5 linked regions of the Nothobranchius furzeri genome follow. The protein of the gene in region 2 binds, or shares a complex with, the protein of the main gene of each other region. Links are inferred from orthologs where the notes say so. Each region holds a gene or a part of one and is shown on either strand. Other genes may lie near its edges.

Region 1 (4,263 bases), on a different chromosome or scaffold from region 2:
GTAGCTCGTCTACAACAAAGGGTTTTAATTTTGGAATGGGACAACTGGGTGACTGTTTCAGGATTTTAGCCCTGTGACAGCGTACCTCAGTCATCTCTGCGTGGTGCGTTGGGTGTATGGGGCCTGCGGCCGTAGCGACTACGTACAAAATATGGTGGGTAGCGCCGTCTGCCAGGGTACGCTGGTCTGCGCTGTGGTTGCTGCGAATCTCCATCAGGGATGTTATCTCCACCCTCTCTGCTGCCTTTGTCACGTCCTCCACTGCCAGGCTCTCCCTCGTCGCTCTGGTAGTTCTCTGGATAGTCTCCTCCACGGGGAGGCCCCCTCCTTCGTGGGTAGCGTCTGTAACGGTTCCTGTCAGCAGCGTACTTACTCCCCTGGACTGCAACTCCTCCTGGGCCAGTGACATTTGCTGCCTCTGCTCCCTGTGCACAAGAAAAAAAGGCAAAGTAAATTAATCATGATGGAACACAATGTCCTTTAAACAAACAAATCAAAGAAACTTACTTTTTCTCCCTCAACTACATCAAACTCCACAGTTTCTCCGTCCCCAACACTGCGAAGATATTTCCTTGGGTTGTTCTTTTTTATGGCCGTCTGAAATTACAAATAGTTTGAATGTCAAGTCTGCTTAACCACAAATTTCAATAAATGAATAAAAACTAAAGCAACAACTGACCTGGTGTACAAAAACATCTTCCTTTGTATCGTTCCTAGACAAAAGAACAGAATCTTAGTTAGCTGCATTCTGCTGAGCCTCTGCAAACAGACTTAAAACTAAGCCAGTGGGGATTAATTAAGTTCTGTGGGTTGCAACAGGATGGAGATGAGCAGAAAAATAATATGGTCAGCCAAGTACGCAAAGCATAACTTAATAGGATTAGCATGCTTCACTCTCACCCACACCCAGAAATGTACTTTGACACAGGGACCAACAGGTGACTCACCTATTGATGAAACCATATCCATTCCTGACGTTGAACCATTTGACTGTACCCAAGACTTTTGTTGCTGCAATCACAGTCAGAACAAGATTATTAAATACCATCGTCTGCCTGACATGCATTTAGAACAAATCCATATAGCTTAAGTGAAACTGAAACGCTTCCATCATGATGGGACACTTAACGAACTACATCAGAACTATAAAAACATTAAAAACTATGGCCACACATAACGTAGAGGTTATATTTAACCCGCAACTGTCACTCCTATTATAGACACTGATGCTTAGGAGACCCCAGGGCCAGCTGCTCCTAACATGAGCCACCAGTAAGAAAATATCCCAGTAACGATACAACAACTGTCCCAAATGACGCATCCAAAATGTCCCATAATGCATGACAAAGATGAGGATGCAAACAGCGACCAGTCTCTGCACTCGCATGTTTAGTTACTGCAGACCTGCTGCTCCATTTTAGGACGCAGAACCTGAAGGTTCACACGTGGTTGGGTCGCACCCGGATACGTTAACGAGCTGTGAGCTGTGCTCTGCTGGCTATTAGCATGGCTGTGTGGCTAAGGTTAGTACCATGTGGTTGGAGTAGAGCCAGCAAAGAGAAACAAACAAACGCGCATTACTAAACTACATTAATCCGTATTTATTGGTATATATGATAAAGATTTCGGTTTTGAATTAGTTTTTAGCGAACAAATTACAAAGCAGCGGGAAAAAACGGGAAAACACACGGCGGACATTTTGGACGGCCTCCCCTAAAGCCATGTAAATAGCCACTTAGCTGGCTAGGCTAATGTAGCTAGGTTAGCAACCGATGATCTATAGTAAAGTATTTAGGCCACACCGACAGCACGCAAATTCAACCAAAATAAGACCGCCATTGACGGATGTAGCTGGAGTCGCTAGCCAACAACGTTTCTTCTGACAATTTGGCCAAAAAAATCGGGACTGAACGCTTTGGAAAAGGAGAATATTTTAGATAAAATGCCTTGACATGGAATCAAGACTCTTTCGTGCGAACAAAGAGATGGTTAAGCAGCTAACGTTCGTAGCCACTGTAGTTATTTCACATGAACCGGTGTTATAGAGCATTTGGTAGGATTGTTCTGCAATTATTGGCGGTCCAGATGCAGTTATGCAGTTATTAAACCCTAGTCAAAACATCGTGGTTCTGGCAACGGTTGGAAGTGACAGCGAGCATCCATGTGATGACCGGCCGGATACACGCGACTCTCAAACGGATATTTGACGTGAGGAGGCCGATGAGCAATGGAGATAATCAGAATGGAATTCACGATTTAATCTGTGAATAAACCACTCAATTTTTAGAAACTAGACTAATAAAAACCGTTAGATTGAATTTTTTGGACCATTATAATAAGAATGCCCAAAGGAGTGAAGAATTTATCCGTCAACTGGCACTAACGTTTACCAACTGGAGCAAATTAATTTGACGTGGCTGAAATTCTCACGCAAGAACGGCAGCTTTTATTCAAATGCTACATCCACACCCAAGAGCGTATAAATTATAAATGATAACTCCGGCTCGGCTAGCCTAAGAATTCTTACCGATGACCTTCTTATCCCCCGCGGAAGCTGCGGGTGCCGGGCTGGATGGGCTCTCCGCATCCGCAGCAGGCTGTGGAGGTTGTTGCGTCTCGGCCTCGCTGCTCATGGTTACTACTCGTTGGTAATGGCTTCAGCCGGCGGCGGCTCTCTGATATTTTTCCCGGTGCTAGATGGTAACCTGGGCCGGCGGTGGTGGGGGCTACTGCCTTCGGGCTCTCAGCTTTCTTCTTTCCGCTCCCGTTGCCGATCGAACTGGGCAGAACAAGAGACAGTGCAGGGGAATGTTCCCAGGCGAAGACCCGCCCATCTCGTCTCCTGATTAGCTAAAATATGTAGAATTGAACAAATCTCCTTCCAATTGGCTATTGAGACTGTCAATCTTTTTTGAGCAAAGCCTTTGATGAAATTATTGGTCAAAAAGACGTACAGAAGTCTCAACGCCCCCAGTGACGTAAAAGCGAGAGAATTCTGCTTGTGACACTTCCGATAGTATTATGCATTTTGAATTATGTCATACAAAACTGTGAACCATACATGTGGTATGTTGCAAATGTGACAACTTTATGTTTAATTTATTTTGTCGTTTCTAGATAGTTGAAATAATTACTACTATTGTGATGTTTACCGTGGGAACATTCTAAGAAAAGACAAATAAACACCCCATAAATATTAGCAGGTAAAGACAAAGGTAACTGCAGAATCCACTCATATTATGTTCATGCACCACTGGCACCCTTTACAAGCACAGGCCAATGTGTGAAGCGCATGCGGTTAATCTCTCTCTCTCTCTCTCTCTCTCTCTCTCTCTCTCTCTCTCTCTCTCTCTCTCTCTCTCTCTCTCTCTCTCTCTCTCTCTCTCTCTCTCTCTCTCTCTCTCTCTCTCTCTCTCTCTCTCTCTCTCTCTCTCTCTCTCTCTCTCTCTCTCTCTCTCTCTCTCTCGGAGTTAGTGCTGCTAGATTAGACAGATTTTATGTCTCTGGTAAAAAAAAAAAACAGCTTGGGCATTTCGTGCAAGAGAGGGCCAAAGGGGCCTTGATCCGGGCTCGTTTCACCACATTACAGGACATGGATGCTCCAACATCCTTCTTTTTTAACCTGGAAAAGACTTTCAAACCAGAAAAAAACAAATGGTTGCTCTTCGTCTGTCAGATGGACAGTTATCCACAGACCCAGTGGAGATGAGGAAGTATGCAGGAGAATTCTATACCAGCCTATTTAAGGCCATGTGATGTGAACTGTGCCAGAGAGCTGTTGCAGGGGCTCCCTTCCTTGACCACAGCAGACCAAGACATCTTAAATGCAGACATAACCATGGAGGAGCTTACAACGGCAGTCTCCCAGATGGCTGCAGGAAAATCTCTGGGGATAGATGGCTTACCTGCTGACTTCTACAAATTCTACTGGAGCAGTATGGGACAGGACCTGATGGATGTTTTTAAAGACTCACTTCAGACAGGAGCACTTCCTGCATCGTGTAGGTGGGGCGTTCTGTCCCTGCTGCCGAAAAAGGGGACTTAACCCAACTAAAATACTGGAGACCAGTTTCCTTGTTATGTTCAGACAATAAGATTTTTTCTAAATTCTTATCAAACAGACTTTGGGGATTCATCGGAGGTCTAATCCCAGACGATCAGTCCTTTTGAATACCAGGAAAGTAATTAATGGACAATTTATTTTTAATGAGAGGCTACGGGCCTTTGGTTTTGGGGGGTCCTTTCTGGAATGGATTAAGATGC
Region 2 (3,948 bases):
TATCAAACATGCTCACTTAGATTATTATTCAGTCAGAGTTACATCATATAATCCATTCGTTTCACTGAAAAAGGAGCAGGCAGAACTATGAACTTGTTTAGCCCGTCCAAGTAACATGGAAGAAAAAATACATGTATCTGTATGTAAATGTAGTTAAAATGTCTTCCCACAATAGCTCATGTAGATTCTGTCTGAGTTATACCATAAAAATCCTACAGTTCCACTAAAAGAGTATTTACCTGCAAACTAGCCTGTTAGCTCAGCTTTCTGCTGCTTCCTCTGTAGCAAGTTAGCAGTACACAGGTTAGCTCCAGTAGCTGCAAAGTCTCTGATGTTCCACAGGTTCCTGAAAAATTAGCAAACTTATTAACATAAACTGCAATAATTAATTCCATGAAACCAGTAATGAATATGTTAAGATGAATTTTTAATACGTCTCTCTGGAACAATAGACCATTGTCCTTAGGCTAGCACAATGCTTGCTTAGCAGCTAGCTAGTGAGCTAACGTCTGGTTAAAACCAACTTAAAAAGTGGCTTAATTTACAGATTAACTAAGAAAAGATCAAATATATCATCAATTGTCACTTTAGATCCTCAGTAGACACCACAGACAGCAGAAATAATGTGTTTGGGGCTCAAAATTCATGTTGTTGACCGAGGTGGGAAAAGAATGTCTTGGAGGCTACATCACTTCCGGGTCACTGAACAGTCACTCAAGAGAAACCACTGTCCTATAGGAGAGGACTTCTCAGAAGTCCCACCCACCCGAAAGGGTTGTGTCAGAATTGCAACCAAAAACTCAGGGATTGCAAAAGAGAAAGCCAGAAAGTTTAAGTGCAAATCTGGTAGTGAGAGCTAAGCTGTGTGCAGCGAGAACGAAACTAAGGAAACTGATAACAAAAACACATAGAGGCAAACAGAAAAAGGAAACATACTTTGTTACTCATTTTAAGAAGTTGATTCAGATCATAAGTTTTTCTTTTGAAACAATTTTTTTCTCTCGCAATGTCTTAATATTTGATCTTCAAAGTGTTTTTCTTGATCCTATTGGCACAAATCTAATCCCATAGCATCGCTCACCGGGCGGTGGTGAAACCGGAGGAGCCCCTGCGAAGGTCACTCAGAAGCCCCGTTTATGCTAAAATGAAGCAGCAGCGCTCGCGACGTTATACAGACGCCATTTTGTATCCCGGGTGTCAACCAAGAGATTACCCGCGCTAACGTTTCTCTTAATTTGGACTATCATCAACACGGCGGATCAGCATCGTGCACCCACAGGTAGCTTCGCGTGGTAGGTAGCAACAAACATGGTAGCCCCGAGTTTGGCTCGTGCACGCGCCTCTACAGCGTGCTGCTCGACCGGCTGTGCTAACCGGTCTTTTGAGGAAAGAATCGGACACGCGTCCATCGATGCCGTTATTGGGGTAATGCAGGGAAAGGAGAGCTTATGGCTCATAGCCAACAGTGTTTAATACATCACGGTACACGTTCTCCATTCACCGGTGTCGGCGCGGTAACTACCGAGGCCTACTACGGGGGAAGCAGTAGCTCAGGTGGTAGAGCGGATTGCCTCGTGATCGGAGGGTCATGGGTTCGATTCCAGCTCCCGCCAGGGGTATCCTGCTGTTGTGTCCTTGGGCAAGACACTTCACCCAACTTGCCTGTGTTAGTGGTGGTCAGAGGGGCCGACGGCGCCAAATGGCAGCCTCGCCTCTGTCAGACCTCCCCAGGGCGGCTGTGGCTACAAGTGTGTGAATGTGAGAGTGTGTGAAAGCGTCTTTGGGTGTCTAGAAAAGCGCTATATAAACTCAGTGCATTATTATTATTATTATTATTACTCGAGCCCCACGCGCTCTCAGGTGTGGTGAGTGTTGGTTTCAGCAGTTATGGTCCATTAGACCGGGTCGCTGCTCTGGGGCTACTTATCCATGTTTTTGTTTGTTTTAAACGACTCCGATCTGTCGCTGATGGGTTTTCAGTTTAGTAACGATCTAACCGGATCAGTGTGGTCAGACGATGTCCGCTGTCCAGCTCGATGGCGCCAAATACCGGCGGCTGTTGTCTGAAGTCACCCGGAAACAGATCAGTTAGCTGTGTTTAAACCAGTCTAGGATCACAACAGGTGTTATCGGTAGATTTACCCACTAACACAACAGTTAGGCCAGGGCAATCTAACGCTGGTCTTCCCGGGCCACCGTGTAGCATGTTTTGGTTGTTTTCCTGCTCCAACACACCTGGTTCAGTTCGCTTCCCTAAGAAACCAATTACTGGAGCAGACACACCAGAACGGTGGCCCTGGAGGACAAGGGTTAGACCATTGGACCAGGGTTATCAACTTTAAAGAGCAAGTCACCCCCAAATCTACTTCTTTTGCTGATACATTATATAAACTAGTGTCTAATCGGGCTGTAGACGCATGCAGTCAATAATTTGGGCCTTTAGTGTATCATACTTCAAATGTAAATAATATTCCTAAAACTCAGTGTCGCACCGTGTTCAGGTAAACACCCTGCACTGCAGCTGAATTTAAATCTGACATTGCTATTGGCTAAGAGGTACACCATGACGTTAGCTGGTACATTATGTCACAATGTTGTTGTGAACCTGTGTTCGTGTGTGTGTGCGTGCGCTAGGCAACAGCATTTGTTGCATTTTTCAAACAGGAAGTGGGAGTGGAGTAAGACTGATAAGATGTGACTGGATAAGAAAAGATTCATAATCAAACTAGTAAGTCAAGAGCATTGAGGGGGTTTATTCTGTCGTAAAAACTTTGTGTTCAGAGTTAGGGATGCATGTTCATACGATACGTATCGCGATACAGAGTAGAAAATATCGCGATACTAAAAGCTGAGGAATATTTCCGAGACTGAATTTAAATGAAAGAAGCATCATGGTAAACAGTCCAAACTGTTACATGTGCTGGTGCAACCAACGCAAAGGGATCTACATTTCATCACAGGAAATAAAAATTTGCCCTTTAACTGGGCGGTGTTTTAACTGGTAGAGTTGAGTTTCAGCTCAAACTGTACGACTTCCTTGCAGAGCAAGTCTCACGAGTTACGTGCTCACACTGTATGTCTGGTAGCGACATGTTGGGCCCACAAATATGCTAAAATCAGCTGTTTTTACACAACACGTCAGACTTATCGTATTATTAGGGATGCACGTAGTTAACTGCTTAATTGCCTTTAATGTTGTGACCAGGTAAACTAGTTTTTTCCAGTTAACTGTTTCAAGTCCTTCTGCTGTGCTTGGTGCAATATATTTTGTGCCACTAGAGGACGCAAGAGTGCCACTGTCAAATGGTTTACTGGGCGACCGCAGAAGAAGAAATGAGCTCATCACAAGACCTAACAAATGTGCTGAAACACAAGCGGTTATTAGAGTTAGCGGTTATTGTTTGTTCTTTCGTTATTTCATTCTTGGAGCACAAAAAGCCTCACATCAGAGCGCCGAGCCGAGACCAGCAGCAGGTCCGTCGGCCGTGACGCTCCTTATGCCTGATGCCTTATTTGTCCAGTACAATAAAGAAATTAAGTTTTCTTGCATTCAACTAAATAATTACACTAGGTGTTAAAACCGCGGCCAGACTGCACTTATCAGCACGTGATCACAAGCAGCGCTGCGTATCTGAGATCAGATGGTCCGCTGAGTCTGACGGACAATCCAGCTGTCATCCCACTCTCTTTACTTTTGTTCATAAACATAACGAGTGTGGGACTTAAGTCGTGAGTCATTGTATTAAAGAGTAGATGGAGAAAGTGTTATTCATAGAGCGAGGCAAATGTTTGGGGGGGGCTATTGACCGCTACGGAGCGTCGCTAGCCGGTTAAAGAAAGTTTGGTAAGCATACATCCCCAGTTGTTATTGTCCGTTGGGATCGCTGGAGGTTGGAGGAGGAAGACGATGAAAGTGAATCAACATCTTATCAGTTTAATCTGACAAAC
Region 3 (4,037 bases), on a different chromosome or scaffold from region 2:
TTCAATTGGGTGAAGCAATCACCTTAAAAAGGTGTGGATACGTGGAAATATTTTTTTTCTTTTTCTAAAGACAAACATTTTAGTAAAACTGAGTCATTCAGAATAGAAGATGGAGGTCACCAATTAGAGAAATATTTTTTTCGCAGGTACTGGGACATTTTTCAACTATAGCTCATATTTAACTTGATTGTAAATCAAATGACACTGGGACTATTATCAGAACTGTTCAGTCCTGTTTAGGGTCACTACCTGCATGCTCATCAGCACCAAAACACCTGGTTTGATTTAAGATATGATTAGTGCTGAAGACTTGATTAGAAAACTGAATCAGGTGTGATGGAGTAGTGAAACAGCAAAAGCATGTACAGCTATGGCCCTAGGACCCTAATCAGATTTCAGATTCAGATTTATTGGCCAAGTAAAATTACATTTACAAGGAATTTGTCTTTGGTAGATGTTCGCTCTCTAAAACAGACAACAACCACAATAAATGAGAATAAAAATACCTAAAAACACATAAGAACATGTATACCCACACACATGTTCATTTACACACACACATATATACATACCCCCCCCCCCCCCACACACACACACACTCACACACACACGCACATCCATAAGCATACTGAATAAGCATTAAAAACTACAATAATAGGATGGTAAAAGAATCTACAGATTCAGGAGAGAAATGGCTGACGGAAAGAAACTGTTCTTGTGTCTGGTAGTTTTTGTGTACAGTGATCTATAGCGTCTGCCAGATGGGAGGAGATGGAAGAGAGTAGATGCAGGATGTGTGGCATCTTGGACAATATTCACTGCCTTTTTCCTGGTCCTGCTGATGTACAGTTCCTGGACAGAGGGCAGTTGGGCACCAATGATTTTTCCTGCTGTTTTAATAATACGCTATAGTCTGCATTTGTCCATTTTTGTGGCTGACCCAAACCAGACAGTGATGGATGAGCAAAGTATGGATTCGACTGCAGCAGTGTAGAAGATGATCAGCAGCTCTTGTGGTAGGCCATACCACGGCTATGGCCCTAGGACCCTAATTGAATAACATTGGACTATTTGAATAGAAGTATTGTGTAATCAGATTTTAAATTGGTCCAATCAATGCTTTTAAATTATTACAAATAAACCCCAAACGTTCTCTTCGATCAGAAGCATTTATGTTTGGTTGGATGGCGCTAGACTGTTCCTCAGTCATCCCACGAAGAAGAAAAATATCGTTCCGTCACTTCCTGCCACCCCTGCATTTTACCACGGGCAACCCCGTTGCTCTTTCTTTTCGCACGTCATGGCGGACCGGTTCAATAAGGTAAGCTGCTGTTGCGAGGAAATAAAATATATTATTCTACATTTAGCCAACTACAATACGCAATCTGTTTAGTCAGAATGGCTTATAACAGCGTTATATTTCTAAACGTATTCAGTACTTGTGTCCGTCTTGTCTGCAAGACTCGTTTTTTAACACTTGGATCAGTTAGCGGTAGCTATTTGAGCATGCCTTCATCATGGCAGCTTCCCCGCTGAGGCAGTGGCTTATGGTTAGCTTGTTAACAGTTTTTGTGAAAATGAGAATCAAATTGAAAATTAATCAACTGTCGTATAAAATAAAGAGACTGCTATATATCTGTGCAATACTCAAAACGTTTATTTCAGAAACAAGCTTACGTGTGAGCTACGGGTGTTTTAGCCGCGAGTGTTCCATGTGCTAGCTTTGAAATGCACATGAAAAAGACTACGATACAGTGTCACAATCAACAGTTCTTAAACGTCTTAGTAATTTTTACTCAAATGGTTTAATGTCTTGTTCGCTTAACGATCAGACATTATGAATATGCTTAGTTGATAATAGTACGCTTTTTAGGGCAAAGTCAGGCAGTCAGCCAAAGTTTAAAAAATGTACATCTACATTCTACAGGTTCTGCTAATAGATGGCAGGGGCCATCTACTTGGCCGACTGGCTGCCATTGTGGCTAAACAGGTCCTCCTGGGTAAGTTGTTTCTTAAGGATGTGAATAAAGTATGCTCATTTGAACTGCAGTAGACATTTAACCACACATCAAGAATTACTAACAAATAAGATAATTAACACTGTTTGACCAAGGTCCATGGGTTTTATGCTGTCGAGGGGATTGACTTGGTTGGAAATATTAGCAATTATGCTTCCAAATTCGATATGACCTGTTACTGGGAAAACCAATTTAATGCAAGTCTTTGCATGCACAGCTTGTATTGCATTTTATTGTATTCCTATTAAAAGTGTTCATGACTGTTTGCTACCCTTGTGTGATGCTGCATGTTCCTGGCATGAATGCAAACATGGAAGCAGATGTCTAATGTGAAATAGGACTCGCCCAGAATTTAGCACTATCATTTTAACTGTGAAAAAATGTTCTATCGCAAATGGAGAATGACATTTATAACCAACGATTTAAGGAATGTGTCCAACCAGCCTTTAATCTTTCTTTTGTAGGCCACAAAGTAGTGGTGGTAAGATGTGAAGGCATCAACATATCTGGAAACTTCTATCGCAACAAGCGTAAGTAAAACATAAAATAAGTTTTTCTCTTAAGATGTGCTCGTCAATGATGATTTAATGATATTATTCGAGTTTCACTGACCATGAGACTATCTTACATGCACTACCATCTGAGACACCAGCATTGTTTACTAGTAAGACATTAAGTTTAGTAAGTAGTCTGCCTGTGATTTACTGTGGTGTTTGTGTCCACCAACAGTGAAGTATCTGGCTTTCCTGCGCAAGAGGATGAACACCAATCCCTCACGTGGGCCGTACCACTTCAGAGCTCCCAGCAGGATCTTCTGGAGGACTGTCAGAGGTGGGATTGTGGCTCAGGTTAAGAAGTTTACATTTGTGTAAATATAAACAAATGCTTGAAGTTTAATTACAGATTCAGTCGTTGGGTTTTGTTTAGAACTTTCAATGAAGGGACCTTAGTGGTGCAGGTGATTGCAGTTTCAGTTTACATGTTCTAAGTTGCTTGACTGTGATGAGCTCTTTATCCCGAATCTGAACATCTATTGATGAAACAAACACTTCGGATCTGACTTCTGAGTTAAGCAACAGCGTTTTTGGACTTCTGCTAATGTCATACTCGAGGGTGTTTCCCTTATTTTTGTTTTTTACCTTGTATTTTTTTCTCTCTCAAGGCATGCTTCCCCACAAAACCAAGAGAGGCCAGGCTGCTCTGGACAGGCTGAAGGTGTTTGATGGTATCCCCCCTCCTTATGACAAGGTATGTGTCTTTATTTATGTAGCGTTTGAAATTTGGCTGTCGGTGATTACTTTTATCTCCCTTCTTTGAATTTACCATGAAAAGGGAACAAGATCTTGACTGAGACATGCCACGTTACCAAGTGAAATACTTTCTGAAGCTGCAGTTTTTACTTTTTCTAACGTGGATTTTGTTTTTTAGAGAAAGCGTGTGGTTGTGCCAGCTGCTCTGAAAATTGTGCGCCTGAAGCCCACTCGTAAGGTGAGTTGTGAACAAAAGTTTTTCATCAGATTTTTGCTCTTAGTTTGGCTGTTGGTGATGTTTCATGACTTCGCTTCCTTCGTTGAATTTAATGAAAAGTAATCCTAACTGAAACATGCCATTGTATGTTTTATTTCCCTGCTCTCAGCTAAATTTATTTTACTATTTAATTTCCTTTTTTCTTTTCAGTTTGCTCTGCTCGGGCGTCTGGCACACGAGGTTGGCTGGAAGTACCAGGCCATCACAGCCACTCTGGAGGAGAAGAGAAAAGAGAAGGCCAAGCTCCGCTATTCCAAGAAAAAGACACTGGTCAAGCTGACCAAGCAGGCGGAGAAGAACGTTGAGAAGAAAATCGCCGTATACACAAACGTTCTGAAACAATATGGTGTACTTGTCTAACCTGGGTTTTCATGGCCAATAAAGATAATTAAATGTTTATAGAAAGTGTCTTGTTTTTCAGTGGTTGCTTAAAGTAATTGTACATAATGAGTTGAAAAAACTACTGTGATGGACAAGCAACTTGTCCAGGGT
Region 4 (4,202 bases), about 13 Mb from region 2:
ATGAGGAACAGATATGAGATTGATAGATGCACTTCTGCTACAGAATGCAGTCGTTAAAGACACAATGTGAGTGTAAAAAGGTAAATGGTAAGGCTTTAGCTATTCAGGGATGACCCTCAAACACATGTGTGAAAGGTTATATCATAAATATATGATAGAATACTTCAAACGAGGCTTTACCTCTTGCTAGTTATGTGCATTGGCACTTAAAGCCAATACAGTTCAACAAAGCTTGGATGGCGCTTCAGGGATGCTGAAGGCCACCTCGGCTCTGTCCCATCCTTACCAGCTGTATTTGTTCTCTTCAATAAATTCAAAGTAGCCCCTTCCATGTTCCTCCCGGCGTCTCTTAACACCCTTCTTATTCTTCTGATCAGCATTCGTGTCTTTGTCCGCATCTCCTTTGAAAATAGAACAAAGATATAGAATGAGGTGCTCCTTTTTGAGAGAGAGAGAGGTCGGACTGGCAGTGGGGTTCTGGCCCACGAAGCCCGTTCATTATTTACATTGCGTCTAGCATGATTACCAAGAGGAAACACCTCATAGTTACATTTAAAACAGTACAATCATATTACATGACTTGTAACAACTGGTAAGACCAGGTAGTAATTACAGCATGAACTGGCCCAAATGAACAGCAGCAGCAGAGCTTGATGGGGCTGGAAAAGGGGTCGTGAAAGGGTAAGAACCCTTCAGATACAAGTCCTCTAGTCCTAGATGAGGGTCTACTGCATCAGGGGGAGTTAACCATGCAGGGAAACCTACCTAAAGCCCAATGACACCCCCCGCTAAAGAAAAGGATGATATGTAAATAAAAATGTATGTATACCCTTTAATATCACGCTTGTATTTCAAATCGAAAACACACGATGGACGTATCAGGAAAGTTGTAGGCCACTCCGTTCTTCTGCAAAGCGCTGGGTTAGCAAGTTCAGAGGTTCCCAAGCTCATAACCCAAACTAACACCCAAATACAGCTTCAGGTCTTTTACATCAGCCTGCTGAGGCTCTTCCTTCAAACATCTGCACCTCATAACCAGACCTGATGCTAGTGTTGGCTTTTGATCCGGCTAAACACGATTCTGGACTTCACTCGTCTACACTAGATAGAATCTTTAATAATTTAATCAATCACATACAGTCCAAGACTGGGACAATTTAGTTCTTATGGGCAACTCAAAGTGGTCCAGCCCAAAAACACGCAGACATCTGGACTAACAGTTTGAAGCTGACATGCACTGACCTGCGGAAGGAAACCATGGAAACCCACACATGCACGCGGAGAACAAGCTAACTCCATGCAGAAAGGCTGGAGCTGGGATGTGAACCTTGCTAAAAGCTAAAAGTGCTACCAAATGGAGTTTGTGAAACCGTTAATCATTCAGTAAGACTAAAGTGTTATTGATAACGGGACCACATCAGAACCAGTCATATGAAGCAAGGTGACAGACTCTGGTGCCTTGCTGATCTCTGGACCAGATCAGAAGCGGTCCTTGTAGAAAACTTCATCAGTAATGTGTGCCACTCCTAGTTGATCAGAGGTAGAAAATGTAACGCATGGGGGATTTAGACCACGTTTGGACCCACTCATTAAAAAAATCTAAAAACTAAAATTGTCTTCAGTAATTTGTGTTTTTGCGACTGGAGCACGTAAGAACTGATCCTGTTCTGAAAACAGAACACGTTTTAGTTTTTATATGTATTAAAGAATTACTTTAGCCCCCTCCCGCCTCGTCTACGTGCTGTAGTTCTGAACTAGAGCTGATCAAACGTAGTCCAGATGAAGCCTTGGCGAGAGGAAAACCGACTAAAGCGTGATGGGAACCTCTGAAATGGCTAACACGGCTAGCTAGCGCAGACCGATACAAAGGAAAAACGATGCTAACTAGCGTGCTACTATCAAGCGACACAAGAGAAAAATAACAAATTAATTTCTTAAGAATTATTTATAAGCATGTTCCTTAGTTAGTCCGTGTCAATTAACCTACTATCCGTTGGTAAACTGGGTTAGAGAATCGTACATTTAAATTATTGTAACCAAGGCGTTGGCTAATGCTAACTAGCCTGAATCACGCTGACTGACTCAACATGGACGCCATGATAAGCGGTAACAACCGGCTACCCCTCCCTTACGGAAAAGCATTCAAATCTACGCTACAGTTCCCACCTCCCCCCACAAAATGACACCCAGCCACGGTTCATCCAACAAATCATTTTCATAGCGTATTGTTTCTTCTCACCCTCAGTAGCGTGATCGCCGGGCTCACCATCTTCTGTGTCAATTTTCTCCATGTCGTCTACATCCTCCTTTAGCATGGGATCCATCTCGTCCTCCTCGTCACCTTCCTCTTCCCCCTCACCCATCTCCTCGTCCACCGACACACCGTTCCCGTCGCCGTCATTCGCCGGCTCTTCTCCCTCGTTGGCCTCCATGCTCTCCTCTACCGGGCCTTCTTCTTCCTCCCCCATACCCTCCTGGATGTCCGCGGCCTGCTCGTCCGTCGCCACATCCTGAGCGGCCGAGTCTCCAGCGAGGGCCTCCTCGTCCAGCGCGGCCTGCAAGCGGTCCATCAGATCGGCCTTCAGCCCCTTGTCTGATAGGTTTCGTTTCTTGAGCTCGTCTTTTAGCTCGTTTACTTTAAGCTTCTTCACGTTAATCGTGCTCATTGTGGACGTTTAACGACAAACTACTAAAATACGTCGACAAATAAACAATAACGTGCACTTTGTTAGTAGATGTTGCTCGAAACGACGCCAAACGTTACGCGCGATCCAACCTTTCACCAACGGAGAGGGAGCTGATGAGCCAGCCTCGGCGGCGGGAGGGGGAGCAGAGCGCTAACCACTACCGTAATGATCCTAAAAGCAGCACAGTCGAGCCAGAGCCACCACGGTATTAAAACTGGAACAAGAACAGGGCAGTGCAGAGATGAGAGACGGGTGCCCCAAGTTTAAACGGGGCACCTAAAACAAGACTGTCAAACCCCTTACATCATTTACAGATGACCAGGTAGACTAATAACAACTCATTATCAATAATCTATCTAATCACACCATCTGCTTCAAGCTGTGTTTTGTTGCCTCTACCTTTATTGCGCCTGTTGCTTGAACAAAGGGCAAAACATTCAGGCTCTAGATGTGGAAAGCTGGTAGGGACATAACCCAAAGAGACACCCCCCAAAGCCATTCAGCTGTAATTGCAGCAAAAGATGAGTCCACAAAGTATTTATGCAGGGGGCTGAATACAAATGCACAACACACTTTCATATTTTTATTTGCTTAAAATTTTTGAAAACCATGTTTCATTTCACACTTATGTGCTTTTTTATGTTGATCTAGCAAAGAAAATATCAATAAAAATATTGAAGTTTGTGGTCAAAATATGTAGAAGTTCAGAGGGTATGAATACCTTTGCAAGGCACCACGTATGTATGTATGTATGTATGTATGTATGTATGTATGTATGTATGTATGTATGTATGTATGTATGTACGTACGTACGTACGTATGTATGTATGTATGTATGTATGTATGTATGTATGTATGTACGCATGTATGTATGTATGTATGTATGTATGTACGTATGTATGTATGTACGCATGTATGTTTGTATGTATGTATGTACGTATGTATGTATGTATGTATGTATGTATGTATGTACGCACGTACGTATGTATGTTTGTATGTATGTATGTACGTATGTATGTATGTATGTTTGTATGTATGTATGTATGTACGCATGTATGTATGTATGTATGTACGTATGTATGTATGTACGCATGTATGTTTGTATGTATGTATGTACGTATGTATGTATGTACGCATGTATGTATGTATGTATGTATGTATGTATGTATGTATGTATGTATGTATGTATGTATGTATGTATGTATGTATGTATGTATGTATGCATGTATGTATGCATGCATGCATGCATGTATGTATGTATGTATGTATGTATGTATGTATGCATGTATGTATGTATGTACGCATGTATGTATGTATGCATGTATGTATGTATGTATGTATGTATGTATGTATGTATGTATGCATGCATGCATGCATGTATGTATGTATGTATGTACAGACGCAAACTGCCTTTCAACCAGTGATGGGTCGGCAAATGTATCTAGCTCATAGAGCGAGACCCTGCTTTGGTATGAAGAAGTAGTCACATGACCAAAATGGCTGCTGTTTCGCCTG
Region 5 (3,512 bases), on a different chromosome or scaffold from region 2:
CTCCAGCAGGAGAAACTGGGCGAGTACCCTGAACGGGGAAGGTGCGCCCGAACACCTCGATGACGGGGCAGTTGAAGAAATATTCCCTGAACATGGAGGTGTCGATGGTGGCGGACATGAGAACGACGCGTACCTCTGGGAAAGCTTGGACCACATCTCTGAGAACCACCATCAGGAAGTCCGTCTGAAGCACAGAAACAGCTGAAAATCTCAGACGTGACTTTTTCATCTGAAAACCTTCTGAAGGGTGAGCTCACATTGATGTCTCTCTCATGGATCTCATCCACGATGACGTGACTGATTCCTCGGATTCCCGCTTCAAGCTTCCTCAGCAGAACACCTGAAACACAGTCTGGGAATTAATCCCACAACCTCCATTGAGGCTGGTCCAAAGTGCAGCGGGGAGACTTCCTACCGACGGTGCAGAAGAGGATGCTGGCATGAGGTCGGGGCAGCATCGACTCAAAACGAACGCTGTAACCGCAGCTTTTCGCAAGATCCTCTCCTCTCTCGTAGGCGACTCGTTCGGCCACAGACACGGCGCTGATCCGCCGGGGCTGCAGGGGACCAGGATCTCATTAAACAATCAGCTAATAGACAAACAACAGGTAAACAATCAGCTGATAGAAAAACAACAGGTAAACAAAAAGCTGATAAACAAACAGCTGATTGTCTATCAGCTGATAAACAAACAGCTGGCAAACAAACAACAGGTAAACAGCTGGTAAACAAACAGCTGGCAAACAAACAGCTGATAGACAAACAAAAGGCAAACAAACAGCTGATAGACAAACAACAGGTAAACAAACAGCTGATTGTCTATCAGCTGGTAAACAAACAGCTGGCAAACAAACAACAGGTAAACAAACAGCTGATAGACAAACAAAAGGTAAACAAACAGCTGATAAACAAACAAAAGGTAAACAAACAGCTGATAGACAAACAACAGGTAAACAAACAGCTGATAGACAAACAACAGGTAAACAAACAGCTGATAGACAAACAAAAGGTAAACAAACAGCTGATAAACAAACAAAAGGTAAATAAACAGCTGATAGACAAACAACAGGTAAACAAACAGCTGATAGACAAACAAACAGGTAAACAAACAGCTGATCAACAAAATGTCAGTGTAGGAGGAAAAGTTATTTCCTGCAATTTTAGAGATCAGATGTTTTGATTTGGTTTAATTTTCAACAAAGCAAAATGACCAGAAGATGATTACTGTAATGACTTCATCAATGACATCATCATCAACTACAAATTAGCTGATTGAAGCTTTAAAAAACACAAATTCTAATCATCAATCCTCAGATTCCAGGTAGTCACCTCTGCATCTCCCAGGCCATCTTAAGAGCGTTACCATGGTAACCACAAGGTTGAAGCCCTAAATAGAGAATTACCATGGTGACCGTGTTGTCACAGGTCATCACTGAGCATTACCTGGGTAACCACGATGTTGCAGTCTGACGCTCGGCCCCCCTTGATGAAGCTGTCCAGGATGTACTGAGGGACCTGTGTGGTTTTTCCGCAACCAGTCGCTCCTCTGATGATCACTACAGGGTTGTGGTCGATGGCTGCCATGATCTCCTCCTCAAAGCTTTTGACGGGCAGCTGCTCACGCTCTGACAGGATCTGAACATAAAGGGAGTTGTTTGGTAAACACCTTCCTCTAACAGTTGACTCCACTCAAGGAAGAAACAGACCTTCTGTAGGTTCTCGTCATTTTCCAGCTGGAACATCAGCTCTTGGTGAAGATCCCCACTGATCTGCTCAGGGGTGCACTGGTGGGTTAGATCACATTAGAATCACACAGTGATCAGGTGACTGCTACAGGTCAGAGGACAAAGCCAGCATCAGTCCAGAGTAAAGCCTTACATAGGCCAGCGGTCCCTCGTCGATATTGCTGCTGGTCCATGGGTTCCAGTTGACCTGAGGTGGAGACCAGGGGACGACACCGGCGGCGCTCTGGCGCTGAGAGGGCTCAAACATGGCCATCTTGCCCTGGATCAGAGACACGGGGCAGCTGGGATCCGAGGGCTAGGGAACAACAAACAGGATGGGGGGGTAATGATTTAATGTACGTCTATTTAATGAACCATAAGATGTGAAATTCTATAGGAAATATGAAATCAATCTAATGGACCTTTGGATAACTTAAACCAGAAGATTGGAACTTTTTATTGCAGGGATTATGTAACACTTCGTATTAACTGAGAGACAAGAGAAGAGAGAGTCACCTTTAAAAAGTTTAAGAAGATTTATTTCTACACAATTTTAAAGAATTTTAAACAAGACTAACTCTAAACTCTAAGTGATGAATGGATCTTGGTGTGAATGAGACGTGAGATGGATGGTGTATGTGTGAGTGATGTTGTCATCAGAACTCTCGTATCCGGAGAAGCAAGTCTGAGTGGGAAGTGATGTTTTGCTCTTAAGCCATCGTTGTTTCATAAACACATAAGACGCCATATTGTCGCTCCACACATACCCTTCAGGATGAGACCTCCGTACAGATCCAGAATGCCAGGTTCTCGGACCCCCCGGTACCGGAGCCGATGAAACAGCGTCAGCGATACGACAGACTAGTCTTTGGATTGTCTCCAGGTAAAAAGCGATAGTTGGTTGACAGCGTCAGATGGACCCTGAGGGTCAGTGAGTTCAGCTTTTATTCTGGAAGGAACCGTTGCCTGGTTTGTAAAGTGCAACAGAATTTATCCAGCTTGTCGATTCTTTGCTTATAAAGGAAGTCCGGGTGGCCGGTCCGATACTTCTCTTAGAATGTGGTGAACTGAACTAAGATGGCGTGGGGACTGGTTTTATTAATCTGGATGTTTTGATTTACGGTCGAATCAGAGTTTGACGGATTTATAAACACCACAAAGAGCATGCCACGCTTCAGAAAGGAAGGATCCGATTGGATGAGAAAGATAAAATGTCATGTGACTTTAAGCATTATGTGGATCAGGATGTCTAGTGCAGCTAGATTAAAGTCTTATTACTTATTAATATTAAAATACCACTGATCCTAAACATTGTCATTTCACAGATTGGTTCACATTTTATTATTGGACTAACACTTTGTTTGATTAGCTTTATTAAAAATAGAGTTCTTTGATTTATTAAAAAGAAAGAGTTTATCTTCTTTCTTCTGTTGAGCTGGAAAGGAAACAGTTTTAGAAGCAAATGCATGTCCTTGAGGCAGTCTCATGCAGATTAGTTCTTACCGAGGAGAGAGGGTAAATAACCTGCGGTGGAATAGCTCCTTCATCACATTACAGGGGTTATTATTTATTTGGGTGGTAGGAATGGGCCATATGGTGTAAGATCCGCATCACGATGTTTTATTTTCTTCTGTTTACAAGTTTATGTCTGAAAGGCTGTTTTACATTCTCACAGACCCGACAGAGACAGAAGGGCACAAACTCCAGCGTTAGTAATGAGAAACAGCTACGGATAAAAACTTGTTTAAACCTCCCACTGTCTTTATGGGAGACCCCGCGAGGAAAGTT

Evidence for each region.
Region 1: heterogeneous nuclear ribonucleoprotein Q-like (region 2) and ybx1 share a complex: the UniProt entries of both Homo sapiens proteins name them as parts of the coding region determinant (CRD)-mediated complex. The link is inferred for Nothobranchius furzeri from reciprocal best matches to the Homo sapiens genes SYNCRIP and YBX1.
Region 3: heterogeneous nuclear ribonucleoprotein Q-like (region 2) and rpl13a share a complex: the UniProt entries of both Homo sapiens proteins name them as parts of the GAIT complex. The link is inferred for Nothobranchius furzeri from reciprocal best matches to the Homo sapiens genes SYNCRIP and RPL13A.
Region 4: heterogeneous nuclear ribonucleoprotein Q-like (region 2) and hnrnpub share a complex: the UniProt entries of both Homo sapiens proteins name them as parts of the coding region determinant (CRD)-mediated complex. The link is inferred for Nothobranchius furzeri from reciprocal best matches to the Homo sapiens genes SYNCRIP and HNRNPU.
Region 5: heterogeneous nuclear ribonucleoprotein Q-like (region 2) and dhx9 share a complex: the UniProt entries of both Homo sapiens proteins name them as parts of the coding region determinant (CRD)-mediated complex. The link is inferred for Nothobranchius furzeri from reciprocal best matches to the Homo sapiens genes SYNCRIP and DHX9.

Annotation. Positions count from the first base shown.
Region 1 is NC_091755.1:32,515,608-32,519,870, forward strand, and holds the start of ybx1 (Y-box-binding protein 1), read right to left. Parts: upstream 2,811-4,263; 5' UTR 2,634-2,810; coding exon 2,528-2,633; intron 1,012-2,527; coding exon 948-1,011; intron 714-947; coding exon 680-713; intron 598-679; coding exon 508-597; intron 426-507; coding exon 147-425; intron 1-146. UniProt on the Homo sapiens protein: DNA- and RNA-binding protein involved in various processes, such as translational repression, RNA stabilization, mRNA splicing, DNA repair and transcription regulation.
Region 2 is NC_091742.1:17,031,940-17,035,887, reverse strand, and holds the start of heterogeneous nuclear ribonucleoprotein Q-like, read left to right. Parts: upstream 1-1,139; 5' UTR 1,140-1,279; exon of another isoform or gene 1,280-1,292; intron 1,293-3,948. UniProt on the Homo sapiens protein: Heterogenous nuclear ribonucleoprotein (hnRNP) implicated in mRNA processing mechanisms. Component of the CRD-mediated complex that promotes MYC mRNA stability.
Region 3 is NC_091758.1:28,903,980-28,908,016, reverse strand, and holds rpl13a (large ribosomal subunit protein uL13), read left to right. Parts: upstream 1-1,231; 5' UTR 1,232-1,300; coding exon 1,301-1,321; intron 1,322-1,927; coding exon 1,928-2,000; intron 2,001-2,482; coding exon 2,483-2,548; intron 2,549-2,586; exon of another isoform or gene 2,587-2,668; intron 2,669-2,747; coding exon 2,748-2,849; intron 2,850-3,012; exon of another isoform or gene 3,013-3,088; intron 3,089-3,180; coding exon 3,181-3,266; intron 3,267-3,446; coding exon 3,447-3,506; intron 3,507-3,695; coding exon 3,696-3,905; 3' UTR 3,906-3,942; downstream 3,943-4,037. UniProt on the Homo sapiens protein: Associated with ribosomes but is not required for canonical ribosome function and has extra-ribosomal functions.
Region 4 is NC_091742.1:29,998,747-30,002,948, forward strand, and holds the start of hnrnpub (heterogeneous nuclear ribonucleoprotein Ub), read right to left. Parts: upstream 2,806-4,202; 5' UTR 2,667-2,805; coding exon 2,240-2,666; intron 402-2,239; coding exon 287-401; intron 1-286. UniProt on the Homo sapiens protein: DNA- and RNA-binding protein involved in several cellular processes such as nuclear chromatin organization, telomere-length regulation, transcription, mRNA alternative splicing and stability, Xist-mediated transcriptional silencing and mitotic cell progression.
Region 5 is NC_091751.1:34,762,171-34,765,682, forward strand, and holds part of dhx9 (ATP-dependent RNA helicase A), read right to left. Parts: intron 2,041-3,512; coding exon 1,879-2,040; intron 1,785-1,878; coding exon 1,707-1,784; intron 1,636-1,706; coding exon 1,444-1,635; intron 558-1,443; coding exon 416-557; intron 341-415; coding exon 258-340; intron 185-257; coding exon 28-184; intron 1-27. UniProt on the Homo sapiens protein: Multifunctional ATP-dependent nucleic acid helicase that unwinds DNA and RNA in a 3' to 5' direction and that plays important roles in many processes, such as DNA replication, transcriptional activation, post-transcriptional RNA regulation, mRNA translation and RNA-mediated gene silencing.